2 linked regions of the Mytilus edulis genome follow. Each later gene encodes a partner of the first gene's protein in a complex. Links are inferred from orthologs where the notes say so. Each region holds a gene or a part of one and is shown on either strand. Other genes may lie near its edges.

Region 1 (9,371 bases):
AATGACACAGTTAAAAATTTGAATTCATCAAATTTCACTTTTTTTTATCAAAACATTACAGTTGTGGATCTTTGTGAAATTTGTGAACCCCTGGATATGTTTTTCTTTTGACAAAGCTGATAAATGTGGCTATTATAGACCAGTTCAAAGAAAGTGGACGGGCTATTAAACCTTGTATAATCACAAATCTCTATTTCATGAAGATTGATAGTACTATATCTTGACTTGTATAAGTTGGTCAATGATAATCTTCATTTAATATAAAAATAAGAAGATGATTGCTAATGAGACAACCCTCAACAAGAGACCAAATGGCATGGAAATTAACAACTAAAGGTCACTGTACAGCCTAGCACAAATATCCTATAAAATGTATTTGCACAATCAGATGTATCTATGATAGTTCCATCACCATGTCAATGGTTTGCATTTGTTAGGACTCTTAAGATTAACTTAATCTTAATTTTATCATACAAGCATGTTTTGAAAGCTAATGTCTCTAGAGTGGCCTAAATAATTACAAGTCCAAAAAGTTAATACAAATGTTGAGCTGATAAAACCAAAAGAAGCAAAACCTTGACAAGAATTCAGAGCTATGCATGTGGCCTCTATAATAGAACTGAAAGCTGCATTTTGTATAGCCTAAAAATACAAACAAGCTTTGGTGAGGATTATGAAAATGTATACAAAACAAAAAAAACAAAGCATGATGCACATATAAAACAACAAAATTAAGCAAAGCAACAATGAAGGAAATTTCTTCTAAAATACACAAAACTGACCCTCATTATCCAACATAAAAATTGTATTTGTGCTGAAAATGAACCTTGGGACATTATTTTAAAAGACACCTTGATGATGTTAATGCAGTCTGCAATTTGTTTTAACCTGATCCAAAAGGTTAATCATAGTCTTTTCATCACAATGCAAGATTAAGAAATCTCTACTTAAACTACTGGTCTTATTGAAATGGACCATCTTAAGTGAGAGGAGTAAACCGTGTTACCTTGATGGATTAACACTATAACTAAATCAAAGTGCTTGATAGCACTGAACGGTAAAGATTGCTTTAATTTAACAGTGGGAAGTAAAATTAATTAATGCATTGGTTGTAGTTGATTTAACAGTAATTATAGACAAAGCGGACAGTTGTCGCATTGGCAATCATAACACATCTTTGTTTATAAAGGAAGATAACTCCAAATTTTCAAAGACGATTCTAACAATGACCATTCTATTTTTAGAACAGTTATTAAATTCATGCAACTTATAAAAGTTATGTTATTTTCTTGACACGTGTAACATTATTTTGTGCCTTAAAATTACATTGATAAATTTCTGGAAATGTTCATGGATAGGATGTCTAGAATGTTATGATCAATGCACTATATTTTGTGTATCAAAAAAGGTAGTGATAAGCCTTTGAAAAAGTCAGTCCAATAAGGTTTTGATTGAATTTCATGCAATCTTTACCTAAAAAAGAACTAATGGACTTTGCATGAAATCCTAGGGGTAGGGTGGTAAACAACTTTTATAGGAAATTGCTCAGATTCGTTTTATGCCTGGACATCGTTATTACAGTCCTATAAAAAAGTATGTCATTTGAGGAACATCCAAAATCCAAGAAGAACAATAGAAAAGAAATATTGTTTTGAAATAGTAGACAATGAGATATATACACGTAGATGTAACCATGCTAGCAGTGACTTACTTTTTTTAATTATTTCGTTGCTAGGTACCTTGTTTCCAGATTCGTTTAACTGATATAGTGTTTTTAAATATCCTGTTGAAGTTCAATTGTTCAATGTGTTAAGGTCACAGCAACACCTAACATATATGGTTACTAGATGCTTTACCAAATCATGATTGTTCTGATGACTTCCAGGAAATTCCTCAAATTTTGAATCACATCGAAATTTAGTTCAAGTGGTCCATGTCAAACATACGGTCGTAACTGTCCTCAAACTATATGGTTGACAGGCGCTTTTAAGCAGAATTGTTCCGAGAGACTTTCAGGTAATTAAAATTTGGAATCGCATCCTTTTAAAATTCAATTGTTTCATTACAAAGTTTAAGTCACTACAGTTATCAAATTTTAATTGTCCTAGGTCAAGGTATAGGTCACTAAAGATACCAAAATACACATGGTTGATTTGTCTTCTTCTTCGAATCGCATCCTTTTAATGATCAATTGTTCCATGTAAACATGCACTTTCTGTTCTTCTTTGGCTTCTTGTCAATAGTTTTACAACGCAGAAACAGTTAAAAACTTATACAGAGAAGAGCAAAAACAACAGAGATGTATATTACGACCTAATGTATAAATTGTACTTGGTGATCCTGTTGATCCTGTATAAAAAAAAATAATAAGGGTTCCGCGGAACCCAGTGTCTCGCCTACGTTATCTGTAAATCGCAGGTTCAACAAAAACGAGGGAAAAAATCAATAAAAATATTCCTCTTGATACTATCGTTTGAATGTAAGAAGCTTCTGTCCAAGTTTGGTAAAAATCCAGGATAGTTTATGAATCAAATAAATGTTTAAAAAATTTAATTCCAGAATGTATGTAATGTTAACTGGAAGAAAAACTAAGTCCATTTGTTAGTAAAATACAGATACACAGGTACAAAATTTTAACAAAATTTCCTTCTAGATACGAACAAGCCTCTGTCCAAGTTTAGTACAAACAAGAATATGTCCATAGTACATGGATGTTCCACTATCATTTTCTATGTTTAGTGGACCGTGAAATTGGAGTAAAAACTCTACTCTGGCATTAAAATTAGAAAGATCATATCATGGAAACATGTATACTAAGTTTCAAGTTGATTGGACTTTAACTTCATTAAAAACTTTAACCAAAAACTTTAACCTGAAACTTGCGCCATCATTTTCTGTGTTCAATGGACCGTGAAATTGAGATAAAATCTCTAATTTGGCATTAACATTAGAAAGATCATATTATAGGGAACATGTATACTAAGTTTGAAGTTGATTGGAATTCAACTTCATCAAAAACTACCTCGACCAAAAACTTTAACCTGAAGCGGGACAGACGGAAGAACGGACAGATGAACGGACTTAAGTTATTTGATTATTAATTGATAAGAAAGAGAAGGTGCATTCAAAACTCACAAGTCGTAAAAAAACTGACAACGTCGTGGTACAAAAAACACAGAAAAAAACAATGAAAAGAATGAACAATTTTACAATGAAGAGAACTATAAAGATTGAACTACACGAACCCATACAAAAACCGGGAGTTAACTCAGCCCCGCCCCCCCCCTCCCAAAATAAAAGGGTAAAACAACACATCAAAGGTACAATTTAAGAATTGAATGCTCTTTTTTGTAAATTAATTGCGGTGTAAAAGCGTTGACCGAAGTACATTTTGTATGAAGCGCTTCCGCGCTTCATACTAAAAATGTGCGCACGGTCAACGCTTTTACAACCCTATAAAGTTACAAAAAAAGCATTCAATACTTATAATTACATTTTTACCTATAGGATCATGAAAACACGCCTTTTATCAAGTTTTTATTTCATTTACCTGTGCACTTTATTGTGGGACCTCGTGTCATCATGATTGAAAAGTTGCATTGTGTAATGCAATTGATTAAGGAATATCACGAGATTGCTAGTTAGCCAATCAGAATAACGTATTATAATGAAACATACATCTAATGTAATTATGACTATATCATTATAATACGTTCGTTCGTCTACAACTTCACCAGACACTCGAATACAAAAAAGTTCTAAAAAGCCAAATAAAGAACGAAGACTGAGGACCAAAAATTCCGAAAGGTTTTGCAAAATACGTGTCAACCATCTGAGTATTTCTAGCGTAGAAGATTCTTAGTATTTTTAACTATTCTAGTTTGATCAACAATTAATCTATGAATATTACCATATCAATGATATTTGAATATTAGGCAGTGCTTTCGCCAAATGTGACACCATTTTACTACCAAAAGACAAGCATCAACATAAAATTGAAAACTAAAGAAAAGACTAGGCAACACCAGCCCTACCATGCAAAATCCAGCCAAAGTAACCCTAAACGTACAAAATGTGGGTATCTTAAACATTTGACACAATCTGTATGCTAGTATATTCCATGCTCAAGCCCTATTTCAATTCATCTCGATTTTGATATGGCAACACATTATAATGTTCCAGAATTCAGCGATGATATGCATGAATCCAATTTTCCCTTTATATGCGCACAACATTAATGTGGGTCCACACTTGAGAGATTATTTTTCATACAATCAAGTTAATTTGATTATCAAGAGATCCTTAGCGATGATTAAACAGACTCATCCATTCATTTTAAAACTGCTCAGTAGTATATGTATTTTAATTTTAATGGCAATTTCTTTGTTCTTTTTGTGTTTTGTGGGCTTTTTTTGTAGCTTTGTGTAACTTCGGTAAATTAAGACATGGACCACAAAATGCATATATGATGAACTAGGATGCACCGGCAGGGTAATCAGATTCCGTTCCACATGTGACATCCATCGTGTTACGCCTATAAGATCATATAACATACAAGAAAGGCTAGGGATACCAAAGGCACATTCACAAGCCAAAAATAAAATGATAACGCAGAACAGAAAATGACAAACAGACAAACAACAGTACACAGTATACAAAACCCAATATAGAGAAGCAAAGACTGCATGAGCAACACGAACCCCACCAAAAAAGGGGGTGATCTCAGGTGATCCGGAAAGGTACACATGCTTCACTGCGGCACCCGATAACAGGTATAACTCAGACGTTCGAATTCGAGGAAAAGGGGACAGGAGTGTAATCACAACATAGGAACACATTGTTGTCATCTGAGAAACAAATATTCCATAATGGTCAACCCACTTGTGATTGCGTCCGTAAAATTTACAAACTGAGACGAATTCAACTTCACCACTTGGAACTCTTCAATATATAAATAGCTTCCTTGTGAGCAGCAATCGTCTATCGTGGCAGATTCAGAAATTTTCAAAATGGAGGCCACTGACCTCATACGAGATTACCCGATCCAGTGATTACACTACATAATTAACAAAATATTTCCGTTTCCCCCTCAATTTGCCTCTTATAGTGGGAGTTATATACTTCGTAAGCTGGAAAGTCACACAGAAATGGAAAGTTCACAATTGGAAAGCTGATATCTCGTTTGTCGTTAAGTTTGGGTTTCAACCGATAATCAATATCAATTTCTGGATGTTAGTCGACATAAGATGCAGACTTAACTGTATCCTTCATCTTTAGATCGATTGGACATTGGAATGCTTTAAAACCTAAATATTTTAATATTTGTTTTGAATCTTCACACATTTTCAAAATATACACGAGCTGTTGTATAAAAAAAGTAAAAAAAGCAAAAATACCGAACTCCGGTAAATTCAAAACAGAAAATCCTTACCTCTATCGTATCTGTTGAACCCTTTTTTCTCAAGTTCGATATGATATTGATGCGTTCAACATAGTTCTTCTTCTTCTTCTTTAAGTTTCCAGTAGTTATTAATTTTTGAATTACTTTACTTTTAGTTAGAGATCATTTAGCCTACTATCTTTCTAAGAATTTCAGATACAGATCCCGATCGAAAAACACGTCCTCCAAACGTAATTAATTAATATGTTTTGTCAATCAAGAAATCAAGCATCAAGATAAAATCAGTTTTAGAGATTTTTTTAACTGACTGCATGACTTGTATCTACGCAATATGTTGATAAATCCTAGTAGCTAGTTATAATTTTCTGGAAAAAACACTTAGCAGTTGATGACCTGCCCAAGCATGTAAAATTTACACGTTCGTTTGTAAAAATAACAGAAAGATTGTAACCTCAGTCTGGGACTATAGTCCCAGCCTCAGTGGACGTGAAACAAATACCAATATAAAAAGGGATATTTTCCGGAAATTTACCTACTTTGACTTTATATTTTATACTATGAATTTAACTTCCTGGAAAAAATGTAAATAATGTTGAAACTTTGTTTTGAAGGTAATCTTAGAAACGTATTAAATACGTATCAAAATTGACCAGTCAAGGTATAGTAGGATGGATATATAAAACGTTTATCCTACAACGCATGCTTTATCCATCATACATCTATTTGTAAACAAAGGCCCTACTAAGGTCAACATCTAGTACGAGTGTACATTTTACTCTTTATGTATATATATAATATTAGCTCAGCATGTATGAGCCAGTTGTGGTTGGAACTGACAAATGTAAATGGTATGGCAAAATATGAGGCCATAAATATATCATACATGTATATATTATATTCAATCATGTAGGTCTTCATAGCAAGTTTGCCACTCTAGTATCATTGCTATTGGAAATTGTCCTGTATCACCAAGATTGTAATTCTATTCAAAGACGTTTTTTGTCAGGCTTGGTTATTGACATATGCAACACACCTGTGACCTCCTTTTATGAATAAAAGTTGACAAATAAATTTTTGTGTTCAACACTTGATCCAATTCACCTGGCTTCAGGTACAAGTCTCTTCAATTTTATGTTGAACTTTACAGACATTTGAAAGTTATGGCAATGACTTTAAAATAAACATGCAAAATTAAACCCTAAAGGTACCCAATATATTGAAAAGGTGGAACCAAATATTATAAAGATCAGAGTATATTTTGTGTTGGTTTATTTTGTTTACACCAGCTGACAAATTAAAAAGACTAAAAAATGTGTACATGTATGGCAATAAAACAAACTATATCCCTTTTGTATGAAATTAACCATAACCAATACATTTAAAATTCAAGAAACATCCAAGGAATGCAACATTACATGTTTTCCTCTCATGCCATTACAATGACTATAAACAGATAAACTGGTAAATTTAACTTGGAACACTCCTTCTTCTTCTTCCTTGCTAAGGACTGGATTCTTTAAAAGAATGTTATAAGTCCACTAGACGGAGAATGAGTCATTAGTGCATCAATGTGAAGCATTACAGAACTCTCAACTCTTTACATGTGCCAATTAAAAAACAAGAAGACATACCAGGTACACTTTATAATGACTCTAACTCAATCATTACTTTTTTTTTTCAGATTGTATACCAAGATGAAAGATGACAAGAACATTTGAATTATTGGCTGGTTGGACACTGATCACAGTGACCTCTATAGCTTACATCTATTACACAGTTTGGGTTATTGTTCTGGTAAGATATACTGTAAACTCTTATAATATTGAGTTTTTTTTTTGTGATTAATTTGACTGGCAATACAGTGTTATTAATCTAGCATTTTTGTTCATTCTTTTAAAAAAAAAACACAACAAGAAATGCACACAACAATTTCTGAATTTTCATTATGGAAAATTTCTCAAAATTTAACGCTTCTAACATATTGATGAAAATGACAATTCTATGATATTCACACCAATGTTTTGCTAATAGTTTAAAAAATTGTAAAAGTAAGAAAAGTTGTAAGTGAATTAACATTTTTGCTAAATAAAAAGGATTAAAGTCAGTACTTTGAGGAGTTTCTCTGTCAAACTATGTATCTCATTATGTGGACTTATAAGTGAGTCTAATGTACTTTCATTTAAAGCAAAACAAGAAGTCCAAACACACATTTTTAGGTTACTGGACTTAGAAATCAATTGATTCAAAACATGGTGAAAGTGGCATATATGCTTATACAACATAACAAATACCAGTAACTATAAAAAGACCTCCAAGAAAATTGAACATTAATTTAGTAGGTGGAGCACAAAAGTAAACACATTTATTATATATTTTTTTTACCTGAATATTAAATTGAAATGGCTATTTATAGCTATGATAAAACACATATTGTTTATGCAATCATTGTTATTTTCAGCCCTTTGTTGACAAAGATCAAATCTTCCACCAAGTCTTTCCAGACCACAAATATGCATTAGGTATTCCATTGCTGATGGGTGTCACTGGATTAGCTGTTATAGGTAAATATATTTTTATTTGTTTGAAATCTAATGTCATATTGGTAAAAACATTTTTTTTTTTTTTTTTTGCCATATTTTAAACAAGATGTTATTGTTCTGTTTGATTTTGAAGTTATTGGCACAGTTCTAGATTATTTCATAACTTTTTAATTTATATTCAGCCTAAAACAAAGCTAATTATTCTCTATAAATGAATTATATAACCATCATCAAGACATGCATTTTTTTGAAACCTTAAAAGGTTTAACTTTACATGCTTTAAGTAAAGAAAGGAATGTGTGCTGTTCATACGAGACAATTAGTACTTTGTTATTGTTTCCCCTCAGAATCCATCAAATTTTATATCATATGAATAGAACTGTAAATTCAGAAATAATTTCGATGTTTTTATTGTCAGATGGGAAAAATGATGGAAATGAGAAATAAAATGTTCAAATATTTCTCGCTGCATTGAAAACCCCATTAGTGGCCTTCAGCTGTTGTCTGCTCTTTGATTGGGTTGTTTTCTCTTTGAAACGTTCCCCATTTTCATTCTCAATTTTATTAATAACAAAATACGGATTCATGTTGGTGGTGATAGCCATTCAATTCCTGAGTGTAACAATTCACCAAAACAATATGCATTGTGTAGTATGTTTCTTCAAAGCACTATTAACAACTGGGATTAGCCCATTTTGCCTTTTTCAATAATGTGTTAAATAAACAACTGTAAGAAGAATCTGGTTAATCATTACTTATGTTTGTTATTGTAGGTCTATTTGTATTACTGACTTGCAGAGGACAGAGAGTTAAATCAAACTGACAGATTGGTTATTTACAGTCGATCTAACAGAATGTACAACAGATATTCATTGAAACATTAACGTCTTATTATAGTGCAATATTCTTTTATTTTTCCAATAAAATATTGACATGAACATGTTCACTATATAGTATTAAAGTGTTGAACACAAATATATATGACATTTAGAGTTTGAGCAATATTAAAATAATACACAGGTACGCTGTACATGTATTGGTAATTTAATCAACATTTCTATCTTTAAAGTAGGTTAAAATATACAAAATGAGGCGAAATGCCTTTATGAAAACCCGGTCATTTTGGTGTTGGAAAGGACAAAAGTGACTGCATAACTCGTCTTGGTGTTTCTAATGGCTGTTGTGATTCTTCTGTAAGAAAAAACATTATATTTGAGCATATTTATGTGAAAGAAGAACTACATAAAACATGTTATATGTTTAAGTTCAAGAAGATTATTAATTATGGTAAACCCTTCCAATAGTAAATCTCAAGATGAATGCAAGAAAATTGTCAATAATAAAAAGAGATGTAAGCAGGTATGCATTGATGTGAGACAGCAACCTAATGACACAGATAATCAAAAGACATGTATAAAGTAACATACAAT
Region 2 (9,342 bases), about 2.2 Mb from region 1:
GGAATATCAATCTTTGTGGATTTATTATCATGATTTTTAATTGTGGAATATCAATCTTTGTGGATTTATTATCATGATTATTACTTGTGGAATATCAATCTTTGTGGATTTATTATCATGATTATAACTTGCGGAATATCAATCTTTGTGGATTTATTATCATGATTATTACTTGTGGAATATCAATCTTTGTGGATTTATTATCATGATTATTACTTGTGGAATATCAATCTTTGTTGATTTATTATCATGATTATTACTTGTGGAATATCAATCTTTGTGGATTTATTATCATGATTTTAACTTGTGGAATATCAATCTTTGTTGATTTATTATCATGATTATTACTTGTGGAATATCAATCTTTGTGGATTTATTATCATGATTATTACTTGTGGAATATCAATCTTTATGGATTTATTATCATGATTTTTACTTGTGAAATATCAATCTTTGTTGATTTATTATCATGATTATTACTTGTAGAATATCAATCTTTGTGGATTTATAATCATGATTTTTACTTGTGGAATATCAATCTTTGTTGATTTATTATCATGATTATTACTTGTGGAATATCAATCTTTGTTGATTTATTATCATGATTATTACTTGTGGAATATCAATTTTTGTTGATTTAATGATTACAGGTAAACCACAAATTAAAATGTCCAATGAATTTTATATTTTGTTTTGGAAATTATGCAGACTGTCAAAAACAACAAAATTAACTATCCACGAAAATACAAAGATTCTTCAATCCATGATAATTGGTACCCACAAATAATAATGAATCCCCAGCAAACAGAAGGCCATAGATATGAATATCTGGAAACAAAAATCTAGATTATTATGGACATTATGTCAAGCTATGTATAAGAATAGCATTTACTGAATACAAAGTTGAGAAAGTATTTCAAAATATGTCTAAAAAATATTATTTTCTCACTAATAATGTGTCAGCTAAACGTTTTAATTACATTGTGTTGTATTGTAAAGGGAATATTAAGCTTCTTAATGATCAAAATTGGTGCTTGTCAAACTGCTATATAACCAGTGTATTTTTTCTAACAAAACAGTTGGTTCAAAATTTTTGAAATTTTTATATTTTTGTTAAAGGGTCAAAGTAAATACTTTGTCAACATTTTATTAGAATTAAACGAGCCAAATTAATTTTAGTGAAAGTGTTAGGTACCACCTTATATCAAGAGTGAAATACCAAACTGTACCAAAATCTACCAATATTTTGTCTGTTTGAAATGTACAGGGATTTTAAACCTCACACACCTATCTTTTTCTATCACTGCCTTTCTTTCCAAGTCATAGATTTCTTTGTCATGGTCAAGATCTTTTTGATTAAGCTTTGCTTCAAGCTCTGCAAACTTCTTGTTGAGTTCATCTTGTTGTACTCGAAATTCTTCCAATGCATTCAACTTCCCAGCTGGAATGATAAAGACAAATCTTTTGCAATCACATGAAATTAGGTTTTGTGCTGAACCCTCTATTTCAGTTTTGAATTGATTTGAACGATGGAACAAGACTTTTATTGGTACAGCTAATTGTAGCTACTGTGGATTCATTTATTTTCGTGGGTACCAATTATGTGGTTTGAGGAAAATTTACATATTCGTGGATATCTAATTTCGTGGTTTTGGCAAGTCTACACTCATTCCTTTAGAAAATTTGTCATTCGTTGAACATTTGAATTCGTGGTTCTCTTGTACCAACGAAATCCACGAAAATTGGTATCCAACGAATATTAATGAATCCACAGTATTTCAATTCAGACATGTTTAAATGAGAATTTTTTTTATCAATTCTACCTGATATTTCATGCATTCTTAACAGCTAAGATAATTTTTTAAACAGTTTTCTTAATATTCTTTCCCTTGGTTGTCATTGAAGGACACTGGTTGTCACTATCATTTAGGAGATAACTGTATTGTATTTTAAGTTCCGACGGCATCAATTGGGGATTTGATGGTCGCAAATTAAGTTTACTGGCGACGCGTTTTTGAACATGTTAAATCTAATCTATATACATTTTATTCAACAGTAAGTAAACAACTTAGGAAACTAGAGAGATTTTATCCATACAAAAAAACCAGTTTTGATGTAGAGGGTACACTACTGATATGGAAAAAAACATGATGTAACTTTGCATTGTCAACTTATAAATGTTAAGCTGCTGTATAAACTATAATCCATTTATAACAAGCAATAGAGATTCAATATGATACAGAAAAATACCCATTCACTATCCTAAACAAGTTGGTCAAAAAGCCTGACTCCTATTTAGGAGAATAATATAAAATATTGGCCTGTAAATATAAGGAAAATGTTTACAGGTCCAATAAAATTTCACAAACTGTGCTGTTTAACCTTCTTGACATTTAAGACTGATTCACACTAATGTCAATCATTCTAAACATTTATTTACAAGGTACATGCATGTGAGTCCACACTTACTAGTTAATGTTAATTCTGTGTATTTACAAGGTACATGCATGTGAGTCCACACTTACTAGTTAGTGTTAATTCTGTGTATTTACAAGGTACATGCATGTGAGTCCACACTTACTAGTTAGTGTTTATACAGTGTATTTACAAGGTACATATGTGTGAGTCCACACTTACTAGTTAGTGTTAATTCTGTGTATTTTCAAGGTACATGCATGTGAGTCCACATTTACTAGTTAGTGTTAATTCTGTGTATTTACAAGGTACATGCATGTGAGTCCACACTTACTAGTTAGTGTTAATTCTGTGTATTTACAAGGTACATGCATGTGAGTCCACACTTACTAGTTAGTGTTAATTCTGTGTATTTACAAGGTACATGCATGTGAGTCCACACTTACTAGTTAGTGTTAATTCTGTGTATTTACAAGGTACATGCATGTGAGTCCACACTTACTAGTTAGTGTTAATTCTGTGTATTTACAAGGTACATGCATGTGAGTCCACACTTACTAGTTAGTGTTAATTCTGCTGAAAGTTTGTCATTTTTCTCCTGATATTCTGTTCTTAGCTGATGGATCTGAGCATTCAAGCGTTCTTTCTCGGATTCCAATGTTTGCTCCAAACCAATCAGCTGGTCCTTCAAATCATTGCATTCATCCTCTAAAATGATAAAATAGATAAATAATGTGAATATATCCAAACAAAATATGTAACTTTCAAATCCCAAAACATAATGTGGTATAGCATGGCTCATTGTTGAAGGCCATACAATGACTTATAGTTGTTAATTTCTGTGCCAATTGGTCTCTTGTAGAGACTTGTCTCATTGGCAATCATTCCACATCTTATTTTTGGAGCTCAGACAAACAGTGCAACTTGTTATGCTATTTCAGAATAACAGCAGACCCAATGCCAGGAATTTCTGGGGAGGGGGGGGGGAAACAAACTCTTTTAACAGTTACAATTCAAACAGAACGTAAACTTTAACAGTGCTTATTTGTTTTCAAGGGTGGGTGACATGCTCCCCTGGTTATGGGTGCGAACAGTGTTACTTGTAATGATAGCAAAGAAAAACAGTTGAATTTTTAATGATAGCTCAGGCTAACAGTTTAACTTTCTATCTATCTCAATTGTATTGAATCTGAGTCTGACTTCAAATTAATATTTCTATTGCTTAGATCTGAGTGTTGATGTCTTAACGTACCACTTCTATTCAGTTTTCCTTCTAGCCAGAGAATAATCTGTTCTTTATTCTTGATCTCATAATCTTTTTGTGACTCAAAAGCTCCTTTCTGAACTTCTAACTCATCACATTTTTTCTGGTACCTTAAAAAGTTATTAAAAAAACATTCATTATATTATATCCAATCTACACATGCTACATTTACATACATGTACATGTGCATGATGCATTTAGCCATGTATTTTGTCTGTATAGCCAAATCAATCATATTTTTCATGTTTGTAATATTATATAGTATTAGTCAATAATGATTTACATTTCACATGTGTATGTTAATCAGAACATAAAAGGTCAGACAATTTTTAGTTGGTAAACATATTGTCTGTTATTGTAATATAATGATCATGATAATAAATACAGTTTATATATTGATTATGTTCTGTGTTCTGTACAGTACAGTGGAGTCCCCTGTGTCCGTGCAGCCTGTGATATTGCACATTTGCTGATTTCGTCATATCAACTCACATGACTCAGTAACACAAATAAAATCTATCTTGTTATTGTTTTAGTCTTCCAAAGGCATAAAAAAGAATAAAATTGATTAAGTTGAAGAGTTAATTAATAACTGCAATCCCATGATTTACCATATATTTTGCAAATTTCCATTAAAAAATCATCATGATCAGATAAAATTTGTTTTATTTTTAAAAGTCAAATTTAAATCAGATTGAAATTTTTGCTCTGCATCCTTGGCAGTCACAGTGTGCTTAATTCAATCTCCGCTATATTTTGTGGTAAGAAATCTTTCCTTTATTCAAAATAAGCTATTTTTGAACGGCATGCACGAAATCACCGGACCTAGGAGGATTACTCTCAGCAGGCCCGTAGCCAGGATTTTCCAAAGGGGGGTTCGTTTGACTCACAAACTCGACTTTAACAGTCACAATTCGAACAGAACATCGACTTTAACAGTGCTTATTAGTTTTCAAGGGGGGGTTCGTCCGAACCCCTCGAACCCCCCCTGGCTACGGGTATGCTCAGAACAGGGGTTTCCCTAATTTTGGACACACAATACACAAAATCTAGAGAATGAAATTTAAACCATACATGTATATATACAAAGAGAAGATTTTATGAAATAATAGTATGTAATGAATGTGTTCACACAAATTTATCCAATTATTAGTTTTTTTCAGTTGAATGACAAAAATGAATGAAGTGAAGTCATAGTTCTTAGGTATGCTGATACACCGGACTGCACCGTACATACAAGTATAATTATATGTTAATCAAACCATAAAATGTCAAACAACTTTTGGTTGATAGTAATGAAATAATGATAATTTATAGATCTTCCAACATTAAATGATACATGTCATGTTACAGGTTTCGGTAAATTCGCCTACATGTATAGCATCTCATAAGGGATATTAATTGATAAATGTCAATCAGAATCTGGACCAGTTTTAAACAACATGTATATGTGGAATGAGAAAAAAACAAAGAATACATGTACAAAGTGTAAGGGATAATATTTTTCGCAGCTGTTCTTCGACCTCAAGTGTGTTTTCAGTGACAATTTTTTTTATATAAATATGGAAGTAGCATTAAAAAAGGAGCATAATCTGAGTTTTCTTGGATTCCAAAAAAAGGCCAATTAAATGACAGCAATACATTTAAATATATATGCAAGCAAATTAAGGTCAGTGACAGTATATTTGTAAAACAAAATGTTGAAAAATGATAGTGAAACGACACATTTCAAGTAAAACTAACCGGACAAGTCTGTTTTCCAAATCTCTTATTTGAATTAGATAATATTCTTTTGAAAGTTCATTTAATTGCTCTCCTGGTGGCTTAGCAGATCCACGTCCTGATTTCTTAGCACTTTTCTTTCCTTTCTTTCCACTCTTCTTCTTTTTTGGTGGCATTTTAAAAAATGTTATACAGATAAATCAAAAGAATTAAAGACAGGTCGACAGCTTTTACACAGAGCCAAATGAAAATAATATCACTTGTCAGTCGCCATATTGTTGCTACTAATGCCTTGGAAACCCTCTGTGCGTTCGACTTTCAGCTGTGACGGAATCTACAATTTTCTATTTATTATATTTGTTTTCTTTATGTTCGTCTTTAATGTGCCTTTTCAGAACAGTAATTCTAAATAAAATGAAGCACGATTAAAACTTATTTCTGTTTTCAACTAAGTATTGATATAAAATATAATCAATCTATTATTGTTTGCGGTTTTCAGACAGACCCCCAAAAAATATCTCTCGGGATTTATTTTAGAGCGCACCTTAAGTATTTATATCACATGACCACAAAAATGGTAGACAAGCAACAAAAACGATGGAGGAAAATTTTGTACGAAGACCAAAGCGTTCCAGACAATTATGTAGATTCGTCGTTTTTAGATGAACTCCAAAAGAACCGTATGATGAATTTCACAACGTATTTAAAACGAATGTAGGACAGAAAGTCACAGGACAAAAAGTCACAGACAAAAAGTCACGGACAAAAAGTCACAGGACAAAAAGTCACAATTCATTTTTACTGATTATTTTCTTTGAATAAATAACGCTTATTTCTACAAAAATATTTTTGTACTTTTCTTAAACTATTGTATATAAACCAACTTTTTAAACAAAATATATCAAAAAAATATCAAAGATTATCAAATAATTGTTGAAAAAACAAAATGTCAAAGTGACTTGGCACTTAAATGGCTTCATGGTGCCAAGAAAAACATCTTCTGCAGGATTAAAATTAAATAAATCTTCATTTTTCAAGTATAATGACACATTTCCTAAACTTAAATATGAATATATGTATTAAAAAGTAAATATTTCAAGATATATTCTTATATATTAAAACAATTGTCAATAAATTATTTGTGACTTTTTGTCCTGTGACTTTTAGTCCTACCAAATTTGTGACTTTATGTCCTGTGACTTTTTGTCCTGTGACTTTCTGTCCGTTTACCATTTATAACGGTATCGGGTCCGTTCGCCCTTCTAGTCAAATCGGCACCTAGTTAAATCGGCTACAAAATGTTTTTTTTCGGTTTTCGCTCATAGGACTGTTAAAAGGGGAGCAATGTAGATAGGACTTATAAAAAAATTATGAAATGCAAAATTATTAATAAATCTTCTGAATAGAGTAATACATAAACAACACATTATCACATATTTGTGATACAGAATTTACTTAAAATCATCCAAAATCTGCTCTTCAGGTCTAGGCAGAAACAAACTTCTCTATTACTTTGTCAATATTCACACTGAAATTCTGATGAATATGCAGTAATGCTAGTAACTGTCGTTGTTCATTGTTGATCATACATTTGTTTTCAACATACATTGTACACTGATAGAATTGAATTAGTCGAAATACATGCTAGGTCAGTTTCGTATGTCTCAGACAATGTTGAGATTCATTTGTTTGTTATATTTCCTTCAACACAATGAAGCAGATACAGCGCAAAGAAGTGATCTTCTGATAATACTAGACACAACTTCACTCTCCAGTTCCCTTATCATATGGTCTATGAACGCAAAAAATAATGAGCACTTTCAAATACTGTTTTGGCGTGTTTGCAGGGTGATTGGCTCCGGAAGTCTGTCGACCACATCGCCTCAGCATATTTTCAACGATATTGAATGGTTCTGATAATTCTAATGCGATTGGTACGTCATCTCATTCCAAACTGATGAAAATGTACACTGTAAAATGTGCTCCTAAACTACATGTCTTAGACTGAGTATTACGAATTAAAATCTTGTAAAAGATACAAGTTACTGTCTGATTTTGTCATAATCTCCAATAACCATGATTAAACTTTTATTTTGAAACCGAATGCCGTAAATTAATAATATTTCATCAATTAAAAAAGTGACAACATTATCATGATTATGTTTCCTTTAACATTCAATTTTTGCCATTTTTTGCAACTGCCTGTTAGCTTAAAGGGAGCTACGCGTCTGCATTTATAGATTGACAAATTGTATAAGAAATCAGCTTGATCACAGTATTTGACCACTAGACTAGGCTGACTTCTTATAGATTATTGAGTCATTAGGTTGTTGAGAATTGATTTTCAGGGTCTGCATTATAAATTCAATAGTTTAGACTTTATCATGTATATCTCAACAGGAGCAATGTGTATTTTAAGACCTGATATTCAAACAATGTATTACAGGAAAACATAATTTTTGTTACTTCTTTTTCAGTACATACAAGGAAGTATGATTATTGGACAGTTTGTGAACAATCAGGAGAAGTAACTCAACAGATAAGCAGGTATTAAATGTTAACTGGGTAAATGAAAGTCAGCTTTGCTCACTATTGATGAAATTTATCATTGAAATATTGAAACTTTGAAGATATGTAGATGTGTATATCGACAGGAAATTATGATTCCATAATTTATATATGATTGATGTCCTTTTGAACTTAGAATATTAACATAGTTTTTTAACATACTGCAGTAGATTTTTTTATTGCAACTCCACACAACAGAATTTATACATAAAAAAGATTCTAACAAATTTGGGTACAGACAACACATTTGGATACAGGCATCAGGCTGTGGTTTTTGAAAACACCCTCCGTTCATGTATTGCAAATGTTTGCACCTGTCCTAAGTCAGGAATCTGATGTACAGTAGTTGTTGTTTGTTTATGTAATTTATACGTGTTTCTCGTTTCTCGTTTTTTTTAATATAGATTAGACCATTGGTTTTTCCCGTTTGAATGGTTTTACACTAGTAATTTTGGGGCCCTTTATATCTTGTTGTTCGGTGTGAGCCAAGGCTCCGTGTTGAAAGCCGTACATTGACCTATAATGGTTTACTTTTTATACGACCGCAAAATTTGAAAAATTTTTCGTCCTATATTGCTATCACGTTGGCGTCGGCGTCGTCGGCGTCGTCGTCGTCCGGCGTCCGAATACTTTTAGTTTTCGCACTCTAACTTTAGTAAAAGTGAATGGAAATCTATGAAATTTTAACACAAGGTTTATGACCACAAAAGGAAGGTTGGTATTGATTTTGGGAGTTTTGGTCCCAACATTTTAGGAATTAGGGGCCAAAAAGGGCCCAAATAAGCATTTTCTTGGTTTTCGCACTATAACTTTAGTTTAAGTTAATAGAAATCTATGAAATTTTGACACAAGGTTTATGACCACAAAAGAAAGGTTGGGATTGATTTTGGGAGTTTTGGTTCCAACAGTTTAGGAATTAGGGGCCAAAAAAGGGCCCAAATAAGCATTATTCTAGGTTTTCGCACAATAACTTTAGTTTAAGTAAATAGAAATCAATGAAATTTAAACACAATGTTTATGACCACAAAAGGAAGGTTGGTATTGATTTTGGGAGTTTTGGTCCTAACAGTTTAGGAATAAGTGGCCCAAAGGGTCCAAAATTGAACTTTGTGTGATTTCATCAAAAATTGAATAATTGGGGTTCTTTGATATGCCGAATCTAACTATGTATGTAGATTCTTAACTTTTGGTCCCGTTTTCAAATTGGTCTACATTAAGGTCCAAAGGGTCCAAAATTAAACTTAGTTTGATTTTAACAAAAATTGAATCCTTGGGGTTCTTTGATATGCTGAATTTAAAAATGTACTTAGACTTTTAATTATTGGCCTAGTTTTCAAGTTGGTCCAAATGGGGGTCTAAAATTAAACTTTGTT

The links.
Region 2: uncharacterized protein (region 1) and phosphatidylinositol N-acetylglucosaminyltransferase subunit C-like share a complex: the UniProt entries of both Homo sapiens proteins name them as parts of the glycosylphosphatidylinositol-N-acetylglucosaminyltransferase (GPI-GnT) complex. The link is inferred for Mytilus edulis from reciprocal best matches to the Homo sapiens genes DPM2 and PIGC.

What each region holds. Positions count from the first base shown.
Region 1 is NC_092345.1:2,382,852-2,392,222, reverse strand, and holds uncharacterized protein, read left to right. Parts: upstream 1-5,948; 5' UTR 5,949-6,059; intron 6,060-6,173; exon of another isoform or gene 6,174-6,249; intron 6,250-7,082; 5' UTR 7,083-7,102; coding exon 7,103-7,195; intron 7,196-7,859; coding exon 7,860-7,962; intron 7,963-8,714; coding exon 8,715-8,764; 3' UTR 8,765-8,879; downstream 8,880-9,371. Other genes in the region: uncharacterized protein, read right to left, coding at 9,059-9,132. UniProt on the Homo sapiens protein: Regulates the biosynthesis of dolichol phosphate-mannose. Regulatory subunit of the dolichol-phosphate mannose (DPM) synthase complex; essential for the ER localization and stable expression of DPM1.
Region 2 is NC_092345.1:197,789-207,130, reverse strand, and holds the start of phosphatidylinositol N-acetylglucosaminyltransferase subunit C-like, read left to right. Parts: upstream 1-5,946; 5' UTR 5,947-5,963; coding exon 5,964-6,081; intron 6,082-7,878; coding exon 7,879-7,948; intron 7,949-9,342. Other genes in the region: cilia- and flagella-associated protein 157-like, read right to left, coding at 1,288-1,441, 2,974-3,123, 3,668-3,789, 5,423-5,577. UniProt on the Homo sapiens protein: Part of the glycosylphosphatidylinositol-N-acetylglucosaminyltransferase (GPI-GnT) complex that catalyzes the transfer of N-acetylglucosamine from UDP-N-acetylglucosamine to phosphatidylinositol and participates in the first step of GPI biosynthesis.